2 linked regions of the Nothobranchius furzeri genome follow. The protein of the gene in region 2 purifies or fractionates together with the protein of the main gene of each other region. This does not show direct contact. Links are inferred from orthologs where the notes say so. Each region holds a gene or a part of one and is shown on either strand. Other genes may lie near its edges. The genes, in order: ift122 and wdr19.

Region 1 (7,062 bases), on a different chromosome or scaffold from region 2:
TAGACAATATATCACATCCTTATTTCCTAATGCTGCACAGAGTGTGCTCCTACCGCTCGCACGGTGCAGAGCAGGCGACTGTAGCAGAAGAAGATGATGAAGAGGGGGATGCAGAAGTGAAGGACAAACATATAGATGACAAATGAGGTGTTGTTGATCTCGGGCTTGGGAGTGTAGTAGTCGATCCCACAGGAACACTGCATTCCCTCTGGGATGTACCTACGATGGCAAAACATATCCAGTCAGCACGATTATACTCTAAATCTGATGCTGCAAGTCTGTTTCATGCATGTGTCGCTGCTGATCTGAATCATCAAAGCAGTTTTTACCGAGACCATCCAAAGAGAGGGGGGGCCGCACAGGTCAGGGCCATGACCCACGAGAACGCCAGGCCAGCAATGGCGTGTTTCTCCTCAAAGCGGAAGTTGGTCATCGGCTTGCAGACCACAACGTAGCGCTCTATCGCCAAAACCACCAGAGACCAGAGGGCGATCTCTCCTGGGACACGAGACAAAGCAGGTCCATTTCACTACAGCACAAATACCACAACCCAATGGGGACAACACGGCACTTACCTCCTAGTGTGGCAAAAAATCCCTCAACGCTGCAGCCGGTGACACCTAAGATGAAGTATCCGTGCAGGGCCGTGTACAGAGTGACCGTGAAGCCTCCGACTATCATGAAGAGGTCGGCCAACGCCAGGTTGAGCAGGACATAGTTCAGAGGGTTTCTCAGCTTTTTGTGCTCGACAGTGACATAAAGGGTGAGGAAGTTAATGGGGAAGGCGGCGATGATGAGGAACAGCATGTATGCAGCCAGAAGGGAGTACTTCCATGGCTCGGCCAGATAGTACTGAGGGTACTCAAACGGACTGCGTACCAACCCAGTCCTATTAGACATGGGGACATAAAAGTTGGGTCCCTCTGTGCCATTCATGGCTGCTGTTGTCCTCTTCTTCCTCTGAGGTCTGGACCAAACAAGCTGTGCCTCGCAGAAGCACTATTACCCAGCCTTGTGGTGCAACCAAGGTGGAAATGAGGGACTGACCCCAAAAAATAGGCTCTTCACAGCCCCTGGAGGAGGAGCAAGCACCTTTTAATAGCGCTGGCGGATTAGAGATGAGGATGAAACGAAGTGTTAGCGGAGATGGAATTAAGACACGGTCTAAGGGTGTCGGTGCAGCGTTAACACGCAAAGTGTCACAGGGGGAAAACTCTAGGAAGGAAAAGTAAAATCACAGAAAGAAGCACAGCAAAATTTAAAGTGAGAAGTTATAACCGTGGTTAAATGAACCCATTAACTACAATCATGTGCATCACTGCTGCATTAGAAAAAGAAGAGAGGAAGGTTTGACTTCAACCACTCAGAGTGGACAGACTACAAGTGAAATTTCTGAAGCAATCCAACTTATTTGCATCTGTAAAAGCTTAATCCCTAACTAGCGCCGAGCACAGAGCTCCTCTTATAGCCTGAGGTGTAATCAGAGGGTTATGTGCTCTCGTTCCCTCCAGCTCCTTCACAAACACAAAGGTTCAAACTGGAAGAGGAAAAGTTATTAACACTCAAGTTTTTCATGAATAAAAACCACAGCGATCACAAATCTATAGACGTTTTATTAACGGGACTTGTACAATATAAACAACAACTTATCGTAGTTAAACAGCTGTAAAAAAAATGAAAAAATGCACATAAATATTAGATCTTACTTGTTAAGAAGATCTGCAAAACAAGTTTAATTTTTACATCGTTTTAGGTCGTACACAAAGTTATGATGTACTCACAGCTTAAGGTAACCTAATCTTTTTAATCCTGTTGGATTGATGGTGCTTTCTAATGACCGAGACCTAAACAAACACTCATCTTTGGGTAACAGAGCTGCTCTTAAGAGGTTTACACACAACAAACATGCTCATTACTTTACATAAATGCAGAAAATAAAATACTAGCTTTCTCCAGGGTACAAAAAGTAAAGTGTCTCCCATGTAAAGAGGATCAGTTTGGCTCGTCGATGGGTCTGCGGCAGTAGGGACAGCAGCTGTGCTTCAGCACCAGGAGCTCATAGTCCTCACTGTGAAACATCTACAAGAGAACACAGAGAGGGAAGCATGGAAGCACGCTACAATAATCACATCTGAAAAGATAATCAAAATTAAAACATAGGTGAAGTTGAATTTTCACTAGAAGAGGAGTGTGTAAATGCTGCACCTTGAAGCAGCTGGGGCACATGGTGATGCTGACATCCGGCAGCAGGGAGCGGAAGTATTCCCATTTGAGTGGCTTGGGCCAGCGTTTGATCAGGACGTCCCTTCTGCTCATGGAGCCCAGCACCGAACGGCTCACCTTGACTGGGACAAAGGTAGAGCCCCCTTGCTGTTTGGACACACAAACACACCCTCTAACCAACTCCGTCCTTTCACCCTCTCCAGCTGGTTCGCCCAGCTGGCTGAATATTAATCACCTCATCTACTCCAGCCGTCCTTTTCCTACCTCAAAGCTCATTTTGGCTGTAAACGGATCTTCCTCCGTAACACCTAAACCATCAGCCATCCTCAAAGCTTGTAGTTCTGTTTGTGTAAATGAAGGACGAATAAATAACCAGTGCACATTATATAACTTAGCATCTTTTACGATGCAAGGATTTTGCAAAAACAGGAAATAGCCGGATCAAAATAACCCTCGAGAAACAATGCATTTAAAATCTGTTGCGCCTGTCAGTCATAGCGAGGCCCGGCAAGAACACAACACACCTCGGTGCCCTTGAGTGTCTGCCGGTTAATGCAGGTTAATCCCCGCACCAGGGCTGTGGCTACGGCTCTTTGAGGGTTAGTGTCATTAAGATGAGCCAGGAGAGCCTCCCTAACCCTATTAGCTCAAGAGCTAAGATGACTTACTTCTGACAGCTTACCCACAAGCACAGAATCAAGGCCAGTGCAGACTAAACAGCTTCTTAGAACTGTCACCAGACAGATGAGAGCCACATGCTTCAATTAGAAGAGATGTGCAGTTTGCCGGGGCACCAGCAGAGTAAGGACTTCATTTTTAATACAAATCAAGTCAGCAACCTGTTACTTGGTGTTAGTAGATGTTTGCGTGCGGAGTGACATTTAAAGGATACTGCTGTTGTCCTTAACGGGCCCCTGTGCGCTCCCCTGATCTAAGCGGGGAACCTCCAGGTCAATAAGAGACAGGGCTTCTTCGTCGCTGATACCCTGGTCCAGGTAAAACTGCACCAGAGGCAGCACCTCTGTGCAAAACAACAAGAATTCACTTACAGGCCTAGCATAAAAGCAAATGTCACCTTAGGATAATAGTTTAACTGTCACCGACCGTATGACGAGGCTGAGTAGATGAAAGGCTGCCTGCAGTTGATGCACACACTCCCCTGGTTGTTCAGAAAGGGGTTGTTGGTGGAGCAGCGGTAGCACATCATGATCTCAATGAGGTCCTGCAGGAAACACAGTGTGTTTGGCCTCCAGTAGACGACACAGAGGTCAGTGCTAGCACTTCAGAGCAGCTACCACACACATGCTCACCTCACTGTCATGGAAAGGCTTGGAGCGAATCTGGAGGCTGCCCAGTTCAATGGAGTCCAGGAAGCGTGAGGGAACGTGTAGCTCCTGGAGCTTCTCGTAGGAATACCTGGCAAGTTTAAACGCACCCAGTTTCTGACTCTGCTTGGTCAGAGCATACAAGGTGTTACTGATGAGCACGTCAAGGTTGGTAAAGTGAAATAAAATGGATTTAGGTAATTCTCTTAAAACACCTGCAGCAACGTTATCCGACTTGTTTACATTTTTCACAAGAAGACTGGTACACATTTGTAATTATAGAGAGAGAACAGCCTGTTGGGGGAGCAGCTCGGCGTGTGGTGAGTGGAGGTCAATGAGCTGCAGCTGCAGCATCTCTACATTGGTACTTTTCCATCACTTAAAACCCAACACCATTCCTCTCCTTTCCACTCAGCTGCTCTCCAGCTCCTCCTACACACCTACCTCTGAAACTCTCAATAAAGTCACATCCTCCTATTGTGCAGATTGGTTAGCTCATGGGTTATTTGTGACTTTGTCTCTAGCTGTTCAACCAACGTCCAACACAGTCCCAGCAAGTCCATTCATCTCACTTCAAAGCTTCTGGAACAGTTCGGCTTGGGCCACGGAGGACCCCAGCCGCTGAGGCCGGCCCCGTTTCCTCCTCCTTTCCTTCCTCATACCAGCACCCGTCCCGAGTGACTTCATAAACTTGTCTGTACGGTTGTGAGTGTGTTTGACTGTTTGTTTGTTCAAATTAAAACTCATTGTTCAATGTGTATGTACGCATAGCATTCAGCAATCAAAGAGCTTGTTTGGAAAACCAAAAATGGGCCTCTTGCTGGCATCGTCTCCTCCCCATCATCATCCCTTTTCTCTCTCCCGGCAGCAGCATGGCTGCCGCTGCGGCACCAACAGTTCCTACTTTTATCTTCTTTATTTCCGCTGCTTCTGCCAGTCTTGAAGTGAAGGTGCTGTGGTGCTTTCAGAAAAGGAGGTCCCATACTTGCTGTACACATCATGCTATGTGTGGTTTACCTTGTCGAGGTGAAGGATACACTTTAGAGATGCCTGGTGGTACGTCCTTGGTGAGGTTATTCAGTAGGAATCTGCATATGTTGAAGAGTGTCTCTGGCAAGTGGGAACTGAAGGGCTCATCCTAAAGATTAAAAGAAAAAAGAAAAATGACAGATTGAAGTGAAAGGGATTAAAAATTACCTAAATAACTGATAACTATTTTCTCAGGTCAATCCCATTTATATCTGCAATCTTTCAACATCCTCCACGTCTTATCCTTCCTCACGGTGCCACAGAAGAAAAAGAGAGAGGATTTTTTTCTAAAGTGTTCACTAAAAGCATTTCATCACTGAAGCTTATAGTCGAAATCTACAGCTCCCGTCTGGGAGAGTTAACGTGACATGTAGAGGTTTCCTGCTCTGGTCTGGATCAGAGCGATGCCTCCGTACTGTGAGGGTGACCACAGCGGAGCGAAGCGCTGAAACAACAAACCAGGAGCGCCGACACAGGCCAGGTCACCCGCAGAGCGCTCACAAGCGGGAATTTGTTGTTTGTAAGCGAGTGAGAGCTTGGAGCGGCGGTAGGAGAGAACCACTGATGAGGTTGTCATCTTGTTCCGTCAAGCAACTGGTTACTATGGCGACAGGGGTCAGGAGGGTTTCAGCAGTCTAACAATGGTGGCTCTTTCCAGCTGATATTTCCTTTAAGTGAACTGCGACCTGAACGTAATGCCCTCCATTCTGTCTTTTGTTCACTTTGCCTGACGCCCTCTGAGCTTATCTTAATTCCTCCTTAATCCCAACTCAGTCTGTGGATTGAGATAATCTTTCAGAGCCAAACCTATTCTGAATGTCAGAGTAAGTGGAGATCATAAGGTATGTTTGTTGTGTGTTTAAACCAAAACAGAAATTCAACCAGGTGCTGGTGACAGTTTCTAATCCAGCAGCAAACCCATTCCCTATGAAATGAGAAGGAAGCATTCACACAGTCATCCTCACCGTGTAGCGCTGAATAGATCGATACACGTAGTAAAGCTCAGCGAGATGCTGAAAACGTTCAAATTTCTTCAGATTTTCATCCCTCTGCTCCTCGCTTTCTGGTTTGGAGGAGAAGGCACAAGGATCAGAATGAGAAACATCACAATTCAAATTTAAAACAAGGTGCAGTTAATGACACGCGTCACCTCTGGCTATGTCCAAACACTGCATCGATAGCATCCAGTAATAGTAGCCAGCATCGTTGAACCTGTTCTCCACCACTGCATTGTGGGTGAGCTGCTCCAGGACTTTCACCGCTTCACTCTGACGACCAGCTTTGTGAAATGCTGAGGAGGAAAGAAAAGTTTAAAACTCTCATCTTGAGGTGATTTTGGACTAGAGGGTTCATTTAAGACGAGCAACACTTGTTTATATATCTGAGTCACCATACTGGTCAGAATGTTCAACGGTAATTCCCAGTTCCACACATCAGGAGGAAGACGACCCCCAGCTCCAGTTCAGATAGTAAAAACAAGCTAGCTTTAGCTTTAGACAGTGCTAACCTGTTTGAACATCGTTCTATACAACTGGGACAGCAGTAGCTCAAGAGGTAGAGCGGGTTGTCCAGAAGGTTGCAGGATCAATCCCGTCTCCTGCAAGAGAACGCTGCTGTTGTGTCCTTGGGCAAGATACTAAACCCACCTAGCCTGCTGATGGTGGTCGTGGGGACCGGTGGTGCCAGTGTTCCACAGTCTTGCTTCTCTCAATGCGCCACAGGGTAGCTGCAGCTGCATTGTAGCTCATCATCACCAGCGTGTGAATGTGTGGTTGACTGAATGTGTTGTGAAGCATCTTGGTGGGACGCAGTACAAAGAAGGCACTATACAAATTCATACCGGTTACCATAAGGGACACAGATTCCAATGAAAAAAAAAAAAAAACGCTGAAATGTTCTGGTTTTACGGCGTTTTCTACGGTACGACGTTTGTGTCCAAGGTTACAAATAAAGTTATACCACTGCTAGGGCTGGGCGATATGGTCTAAAATCAATATCACGATATATTGAGGATTTCGCCTCGATAACAGGCGATGACTACAGGTAACAAATGTTGTCCACTAGATGAGGCTGTCACATGTACTAAGGTGGTACAGCTTCTTAAAGTGACATGAACACTGCCAACCTACACAAACCTTTTCATTTTTTTTATTATCAGATTTATTGACATCAGAAAAATGATCACGATAAGAGTCAGAAATTTCGATAACAATAAATTTTCGATTTATTGCCCAGCCCTACCCACTGCTATCCTGAATAACCACCATCAGGCTTTTCCTTTACAACAGCAGTTTGTGAATACCAAACACCAAAGCCTGCTGGCTCCTAAGCCCAAATAAACATGAGCGCTATTCGTCATGTTCCTGTTATTGGGTAATTAGAAGCAGCTTTTGGGAGCCAACCCCAACAGTGACCCTGCCCCCACAATCTCAGCAGGGGTCAAAATGCATTAGTGGCAAACATGTATTAGTGAGCCTAACCGATG
Region 2 (7,107 bases):
ATTTCAGCAGGCTCTCCTCGAAGTGTTGTCTGAACAGAGGAAAATGAAACAGGACTCTAACTCTTCTAAAATTTGATTGTTTGAACAAAAAGGTTTTCATGTTATAAGAAGAAATAATCTATGTTTACCTTTTAACACAATTAAGTTAATGATCAGGGGTCTCATTTATCAAACATCGCGTAGAATCCTTACTAAAACCATACTTCAGCTCAGCAACAAAAATGTACTTAAGCCAAGCAGGTTTGTGATCTATCAAACATGGAGTACGCACAGCTGCACGCAATCTCCGCTTCATAAATGGGAGACTATCTAGAAATGTTCTCAGCTGCTTTTTAGTCACATCCCGCCCTCACCACGCCCACTTACTGCCATAAAGGGTCAATGCAAAGTGCCTTGTGGATGTAAATGCAGATACATAAGCCGGCTGTTGCAGCATTTCGATCACGACCACAGATCAAGGAAGTGCTATTTCACAAGCAGAAATTCAGGTACTTGTGGGTGAGGTGGAGAAATGAAAGGAAGTGCTTTTGCAAAATAAATAAGAGAAAATCCACGGAGTGGCACAGCGTTGCTGAAGTCGTCAATGTTGTGAATTCTTCAGAGAGATCTGTGGCGGTTATTAAAAAAACGGTCCAATCAGGATTTTATCCCCAGACTCCCAGGTGAAAGTCATGCGTTAACCAGTCACCGAAATGGAGATCTCCCTTGTCCAAGTAGCCAGGGCGCATGATCAATCAGGTCACAGTGACAGGACACACACTGTCACAGACGCATGACATTCTGTCTCAATCTGTCCCCCTGCTGATATTCTGCATCCCGTATTCTGCGCTTCAGGCTGTGTGTGTGTGTGCGTGCGCGCGTGTGAGTGTGCGTGCATGTGTGTGTGTGAGTGTGTGCGCGCATGTGTGTGCATGTGTGGGGTCTTGTTCTGTGTGAAAACGAAGCGGTACAAGTGATAATGCTGCAGGATTTCATAATTGTATCCTTCTCAGCAGCAGCACTGCAGGTGCTCTCCATGTCCAAAATGTGCGTAAGCCAGGTCCTCAGTCAACTTAAAGCTGCGCACATTTTGCCGCTAAGTTTTCTTTCATAAATCCCAAAGTTTGCATGGAAAGTTGCTTACGCAGTTTTCCAACCCCGTTTTGTGCGTAAGCAAGCTTGATAAATGAGGCCCCAGCAACTTAATTAATGGTTAACTGTCTTATCCGACTGGGTTAGATTGTGAAGCCACACACACACAAACACATATATATAGAAATCGAGATGCAAGATAATAATGATTCGTTGAAACATTGTGATATTCCATGTTATGATACTGAACTGATATTTCTACAGCAGAATATCGATTTTTATTCAGAATTTACATTCAAACTGTTACTGTATTTCTTTTGTGGGGTACATCTAAAAATAGTTTATCTCACAGAGTGTATTTTCATCGCACATGCGAAATATATGTTCTGCCCTGGTTTACAACTTTAATTAATCTGGGCCTAGGGCATAGTTTCTCACTACTTACCCAGACACCGAGCTCTCCCCTTCCTCGCTGATGGCTCAGATATGCTTGCGATGATGCTGTATTATCACCATCGAACTCCCATGCCATGCCTCGTCTGATTTACATATGTTGCAGGTGACAGATGTCTTTGCATTGTTTAATCTAAAGTGCTCCCAAACTTTAGAAAATTTTCTTAGGTCTTCCTGTCATTCCTCATCTAAACAACGGCTTTCTTTCTCGTTCTGATCTGCCTCGGTCTGTTCTGCTGCCACCTATGAGCTGTGTGCATTGACTGTTACATAAAAGTTGCACGACACAAACAAATTCACGACAAATTAATTTTTTATCGATTGTTATTGATTCATTGTTGCAGCCCTGTTTCTGGTATCGCAGTATGTCGTCTCCCCTGTACTGATATGAATCGTATCATCAGATTCAAGCCTATAGGGAGCCTAAGTCACGCCCATGTACTTCCAGATCACGAGTCCCCAACAGCAAAACAAAAAGAACGGGAGTCTATGAGAGGATAAAAGTTATTTTCTGATGTCGTTTCATTTGTGCAATGGATTTCACATGTGATATGTGTGAATTTAAAGTCACATTTTGATGCCAAGAATGTGCTTATTTTCAACAGACCAGGTGGCAAAAGTTCTGTTTTTGGTCAGTTTTATGCTGTTGTAAGGTGCTATATAAATAAAGCTGCCTTGCCTTTTAGGTTTGGTGTGAAAATACATCCAGGTCTCTAAATGTTCGTCTCACAGAAATTGACGTCATCGAACCACACAGAGACCAAAGTAAGTTTAGTGAGCTTCAAAACCTTCTTCCAGGACAAAAAGAGCAATAAACATGGAGAAACCACTTTAAACCTGGCCATGCGGTAAGTAGCAGCTACGCTGGAGGAGAAGTGATTCTGTAGTGACGTCTGTTTAAATTATGAATTACACGCATATATAGTGTTGGTGTGACTACCTGTCTGACTGTGTCTCCTTCATGGTTGCTAATGCTAAGAGTGTGGTCATCACTTCCCAGAGCCAGCAGATTCTGAGAACTCCAGCACCCACAGGTGATTTTCTTGGTGTGTTTACCTGCGGTAGCAATGTAAAGACAAATGATCATTATAAATTAAGTAAATATGAATAAATAATTAAATAAATGTTTGCGGTGTGTTTATTACCCAGTATGGGGATCTTGCGTGAGGTCTGTTGGTTGTAGATCAGCAGGTTTCCTTTTGCTGTCCCAACAGCTAACAGAGGGCCAGCTTTAGACCACAGGATGAAGGTCATCTGATCTTTGCTTAAACCAAAAACAGCAAAAGAAGAATACATCCTGATTATTAAAAACTGAGTAACACTTTCTCCCTACCTCACTTTCTGCATCATGGCTGCTGTACCTCATCCCGCTGTCTATTTGTGACATTTTACTGACACTGGCATCCCAGAGGTAGATTAAGCTGGATTTTGCAGCGATCACTGCAAGAATGTCGCCATCCTTGTCCCAGTCCATCCCCACACAGCGACTAAAGGTGAGGAGAGACAAAAGATATGAAGCAGCTGACGCGGTCAAAGTGAACCCCTACAAGTCGTCTTACACTCACCCTGGGAGGTTGAGTTCAGTCCACTTCTGTCCATGTCGATCAAATATTTTCACTGAGTTATCCTGCCTGTGTGATTTGAAACAACTGAAATGTATGAACACCCTTTTGATGATGATCTTGAACTAAGAGAAGAAACAGTTTACTCACCCGGCAACAGCAATGTAGTTTCCAAGGCTTTTCTGCCATTTGTAAAGAACAGTAGAGCCTGCCCAAGCCTTTTCCGAAAGAACGAAAACACTCTGGAAGCAAAAAGTGACTAAATCTAAGTTTAAAGGCATTATAGGGGAAAACAGTCATTCTAGTGTTGCAGCTGCATGAGTGAATCATACACCAAAGTCACAAATTTAATAAATAAAGCCTGGCCAAAACTGATTCGTGCAACGGGATCATGTTCACACAAACACCAGGAAATCTAAACCTGACAAGGAAAATAATCATGGCCTTGAACTGAACTGTGCATAAATAAATACACAAATCAAAGTTTGTTTTCCAAGAATGAGATAATTAAAAACAAACAGATTGTAAAAAACGAATACAGATAACTAAAAACAACAGTCATAAATTCAAGGGCATGAGGTAGGGCTCTGGCTGTTTAACCCTATTCTTATGATAAATAGAAGAAAAATCGATTCTAAATCAGCCTTTAATATAAAGAAAATAACTAATCAAACCCACAAAGTGAGATTATCTTTCTTTATCCGCACTTTAAAAATAATATCACGTCATTCTCTTTAAATGTACTTTTCTATCTAATTTTCTGCCCTATTTATTGTTTAATTTCAGTTCAAAATATAAAGAAATCACACAAAAAAAAAACTAAATTGTTCATATCAAGCTTCCATGCTGCCACATTTAACGGACACGATAAGCTAACTAATGCTATCATTAGCCTCTAACATTAAAGTACTATCATAATTCACCTATAAATACAGTTATGTTCTCTCTGGTCAGCTCAACAACTAACAACTGGGAATTATCGACAAAACCAATGTAGCCTGAGCTAGCTTGAAGCTGCATACCAAAAACTCGCTAAATCCGTTTCGTGTAGGGCAATTCAACCCTGGAAATCACAAAAACAAAAGAAACGTGTGTATTAAAGTTCTCCTTTGTACCAACCTTCATTTTAGTGGCTTTTAAAAGCTCACAACCTAAACCTCCTTCGTCTTTTCAAAACATTTTCGACGTTAGGGATGTTTGTTTCCCACAATGCTTCACTCTGAAGCGTCTTCTGCGGAGATGTCATGGCAACGGGGGGTAGCCAATGAGGGGCCTCTGAGAGGCAGACGAGGCAGCAGATACAGAGTTCGTATTTCAAAATGAAAGCACCGAGGATGCTAATTAAAATGTAATAGAATAATTCCAAACCTGTGTCACTAATTTGTGACAGCAGGTTAATTTTAATGAAAGATATAGTAAAGTATAAATTTGCCTTATTTAATGAAATTTACAAAAAATTGTTTTTTAAACAAATGCTAATATGTTGTGAGTCAATGTTTTCAGTCAGAAATCTAAGGATGCATGGAAAATTTCACAGATTTTGACGTCTGAGTTTTAATATTGTATTTCCATCATTAATCCATAAGATGGCAGTTTTGCACAACTCTTTTTGCCTGGGTGTGCTAAAGACTCGACATCTGCTCCTCTGCCCCAGGTTTCCATGAGCATGAGGACTGTCCTTGGGCAAGACACTTAACCCTCCCTGCTTGCTGCCCACACTGGTAGTCTGGGGGCCTGAGAGGGGCCGTCTATTGAGTACCACTGTTCAAGACTAAAATAGGTGAGGGGTAAGCTGCTCAATTAGAGAGGCACATTTTTAAGAAAGTAATTGCCCATAAGTGTTTCAATTCTTTGTGTGTAATCATGACAATATAATAAAAGCAAATTTGTTAGAGGCTTCAAATTTAACTATTTTGCAAAGACAAAAACATGTGTTTATCTTAATTTTCTGTCTCAGTGACAACATGAAAGTGTTTGTTTCGGAATATCTTTTCAGCTTCAGATAAAAAGCATTTACATGTGCTGGTTCCACATCTTGCATTAGGCAAAATTATCGCAAAAAATCTGTACTTACTATTGTTCAGGCTTTGCCCTCAGGGTGGGTGGGTGGGTAAAGGGACAGAGGGGGCTCAAAGCTTGTTGTCAGGATGGTTCTGGCCCACTTTACACCCACTCTAGAACCGCCCCTGTGTAGAAGGTTCACAGATTGACGTGGGAAATTGGGGGGAGGCTCTGAAAGGCAGCTCACACTCCATGGAGCGATTCAAATAGTTTCTAAGTTCATTTCTGAAGGAGATAGATTCTCTTTGGTCTTGGATGCTTTCAAACCCTAATTTACAACTGCTCAGTTACCTATATCTGCCAGCGATGACATGAGACACAAATGATGTTTAATCTTTCTATTGATGGAAATTCATTTTCAAAGAACTTGGAAGACTTCGACTCGGTTCGCAGTGTTCTCCTTTACAGGTCCGTCGATTTCTTTTATGTTTTTAAATACAAGGGCACTCGTTTAGGTTTTGTTTTATGTTGTTTTTGTTGGCTGTCGCACTGTGCCAGAACCGAAGCGGTTGGCAAAACTTGTGCAGAGATGCTTGCTGAAGGTATATGCGTAAACTTGATCACATCAAACCCCATAATTCTGATATTTATATTAGAATTCGACTTACAATAGCCCTACTAAGTGCCTTTCACAGAGAATAGCATTGCTTGTAGTTAATTTGACAGTGTGATTCTGGTACATTGACAGAGTTTTAATACTTTTTCAGTGATTTCTTTCTTCCCACTTGTCATTTACGTCAATTCACCTGGCTGGTGGTGATGTAGCACGTGTCCCTGACGATAACACGTTTATATCTAAACCAAGATTTTCACCTTTAAAGAAAACAGCCGTTTTCTAAAACACATTTCTGGTCCTCTGGTGGGAATAAACACAACCCAGGAGACGTCGTTCTTAACTAGAGGGTTAAACAAACTTCGTTTTCAGTGCGACCCGTCTGCGTCATTTGGAATTCTAGGATATCCAAGGAAGGTCCCGCCTTTTCTCGCCTCTGATTGGCTGGAAGGGCTCTTCTACGATTGGTTATTTCGTTTAAGAGGAAACAGTTTTCTCTCGCTGCAGGTTTTTATGTTTACAGTCAGATCTTGAGGAGCTTTTTGAAGAAAATGTGAACTGATCGCTATAATAAACTTCCTTTCCTGTTTAGCAACAAACCAGGTTCAGTTTCTTTCATAAAAGAGCCTGAAAAACATCAAACGTGAACTTGTAATAATTCTTGTAGCATTTTATCACACTGTAGACTGACTTTATATCTGTTGGCTCTATTGGGGTTATCTTATTACTTTATTATTAAGCTATCCTGCTTTAGAAGAAGAAGCAGAAAGTATCATTTCTATAGCGCCTCTCAAGATAAAAATCATGAGGCGCTTCACAAAAGCAAAAAATTTAAAAATATAAAAAAGCATTTAGAAAATGTTTAAAAATATATTTAAAATGAGCAAAAATAGGCAATTGTGAATCAAAAAATTTTAAGAAAGAGAGAGAGAGTGAACAGGAAAGAGGGAAATTAGTGGATCCTGAGGAAGGCAGAATAGGTGGGGAAAGCAGAATAAAGAGAGAGTGATGATGAAGGTCACACCAAAACCAGCTTGAACAAGTGAGTCTTCAGCTGCTTTTTAAAGGAGACCACTGAGTCCACTGATCTCAGGCTCAGGGGGAGAGAGTTCCAGAGTCTGGGGGCCACAGCAGCAAATGATCTGTCACCTTTGGTCTTTAGCCTGGAGCGCTGCACAACCAGTAGGCTTTGATCACTGGACCTCAGGGACCTGCTGGGGGTTTAGGGACTGAGAAGATCACCAATGTAAGATGGTGCTTGTCCATGTAAGGCCCTATAGACCAGAACCAGGATCTTGAAATGAACCCTGAAGTTGACTGGCAGCCAGTGAAGCTGGAGGAGAAGCGGGGTGATGTGGGTGTGTTTGGAGGACTTGGTCAGAAGCCGAGCACAGGCATTCTGAACCA

The links.
Region 1: the proteins of wdr19 (region 2) and ift122 purify together in Homo sapiens (affinity purification with mass spectrometry; 4 studies listed by BioGRID and IntAct, counting the BioPlex papers as one, with this or other methods). This does not show direct contact. The link is inferred for Nothobranchius furzeri from reciprocal best matches to the Homo sapiens genes WDR19 and IFT122.

The regions. Positions count from the first base shown.
Region 1 is NC_091755.1:54,411,243-54,418,304, reverse strand, and holds the end of ift122 (intraflagellar transport protein 122 homolog), read right to left. Parts: intron 5,869-7,062; coding exon 5,728-5,868; intron 5,641-5,727; coding exon 5,543-5,640; intron 4,687-5,542; coding exon 4,586-4,686; intron 3,700-4,585; coding exon 3,534-3,699; intron 3,446-3,533; coding exon 3,328-3,445; intron 3,245-3,327; coding exon 3,116-3,244; intron 2,565-3,115; coding exon 2,488-2,564; intron 2,371-2,487; coding exon 2,206-2,370; intron 2,080-2,205; coding exon 1,993-2,079; 3' UTR 1,854-1,992; downstream 1-1,853. Other genes in the region: rhodopsin, read right to left, coding at 54-219, 330-498, 576-936. UniProt on the Homo sapiens protein: As a component of the IFT complex A (IFT-A), a complex required for retrograde ciliary transport and entry into cilia of G protein-coupled receptors (GPCRs), it is required in ciliogenesis and ciliary protein trafficking.
Region 2 is NC_091742.1:74,695,993-74,703,099, forward strand, and holds the start of wdr19 (WD repeat-containing protein 19), read right to left. Parts: upstream 4,333-7,107; 5' UTR 4,212-4,332; coding exon 4,206-4,211; intron 3,329-4,205; coding exon 3,237-3,328; intron 3,156-3,236; coding exon 3,090-3,155; intron 3,012-3,089; coding exon 2,886-3,011; intron 2,789-2,885; coding exon 2,670-2,788; intron 2,581-2,669; coding exon 2,465-2,580; intron 30-2,464; coding exon 1-29. UniProt on the Homo sapiens protein: As component of the IFT complex A (IFT-A), a complex required for retrograde ciliary transport and entry into cilia of G protein-coupled receptors (GPCRs), it is involved in cilia function and/or assembly.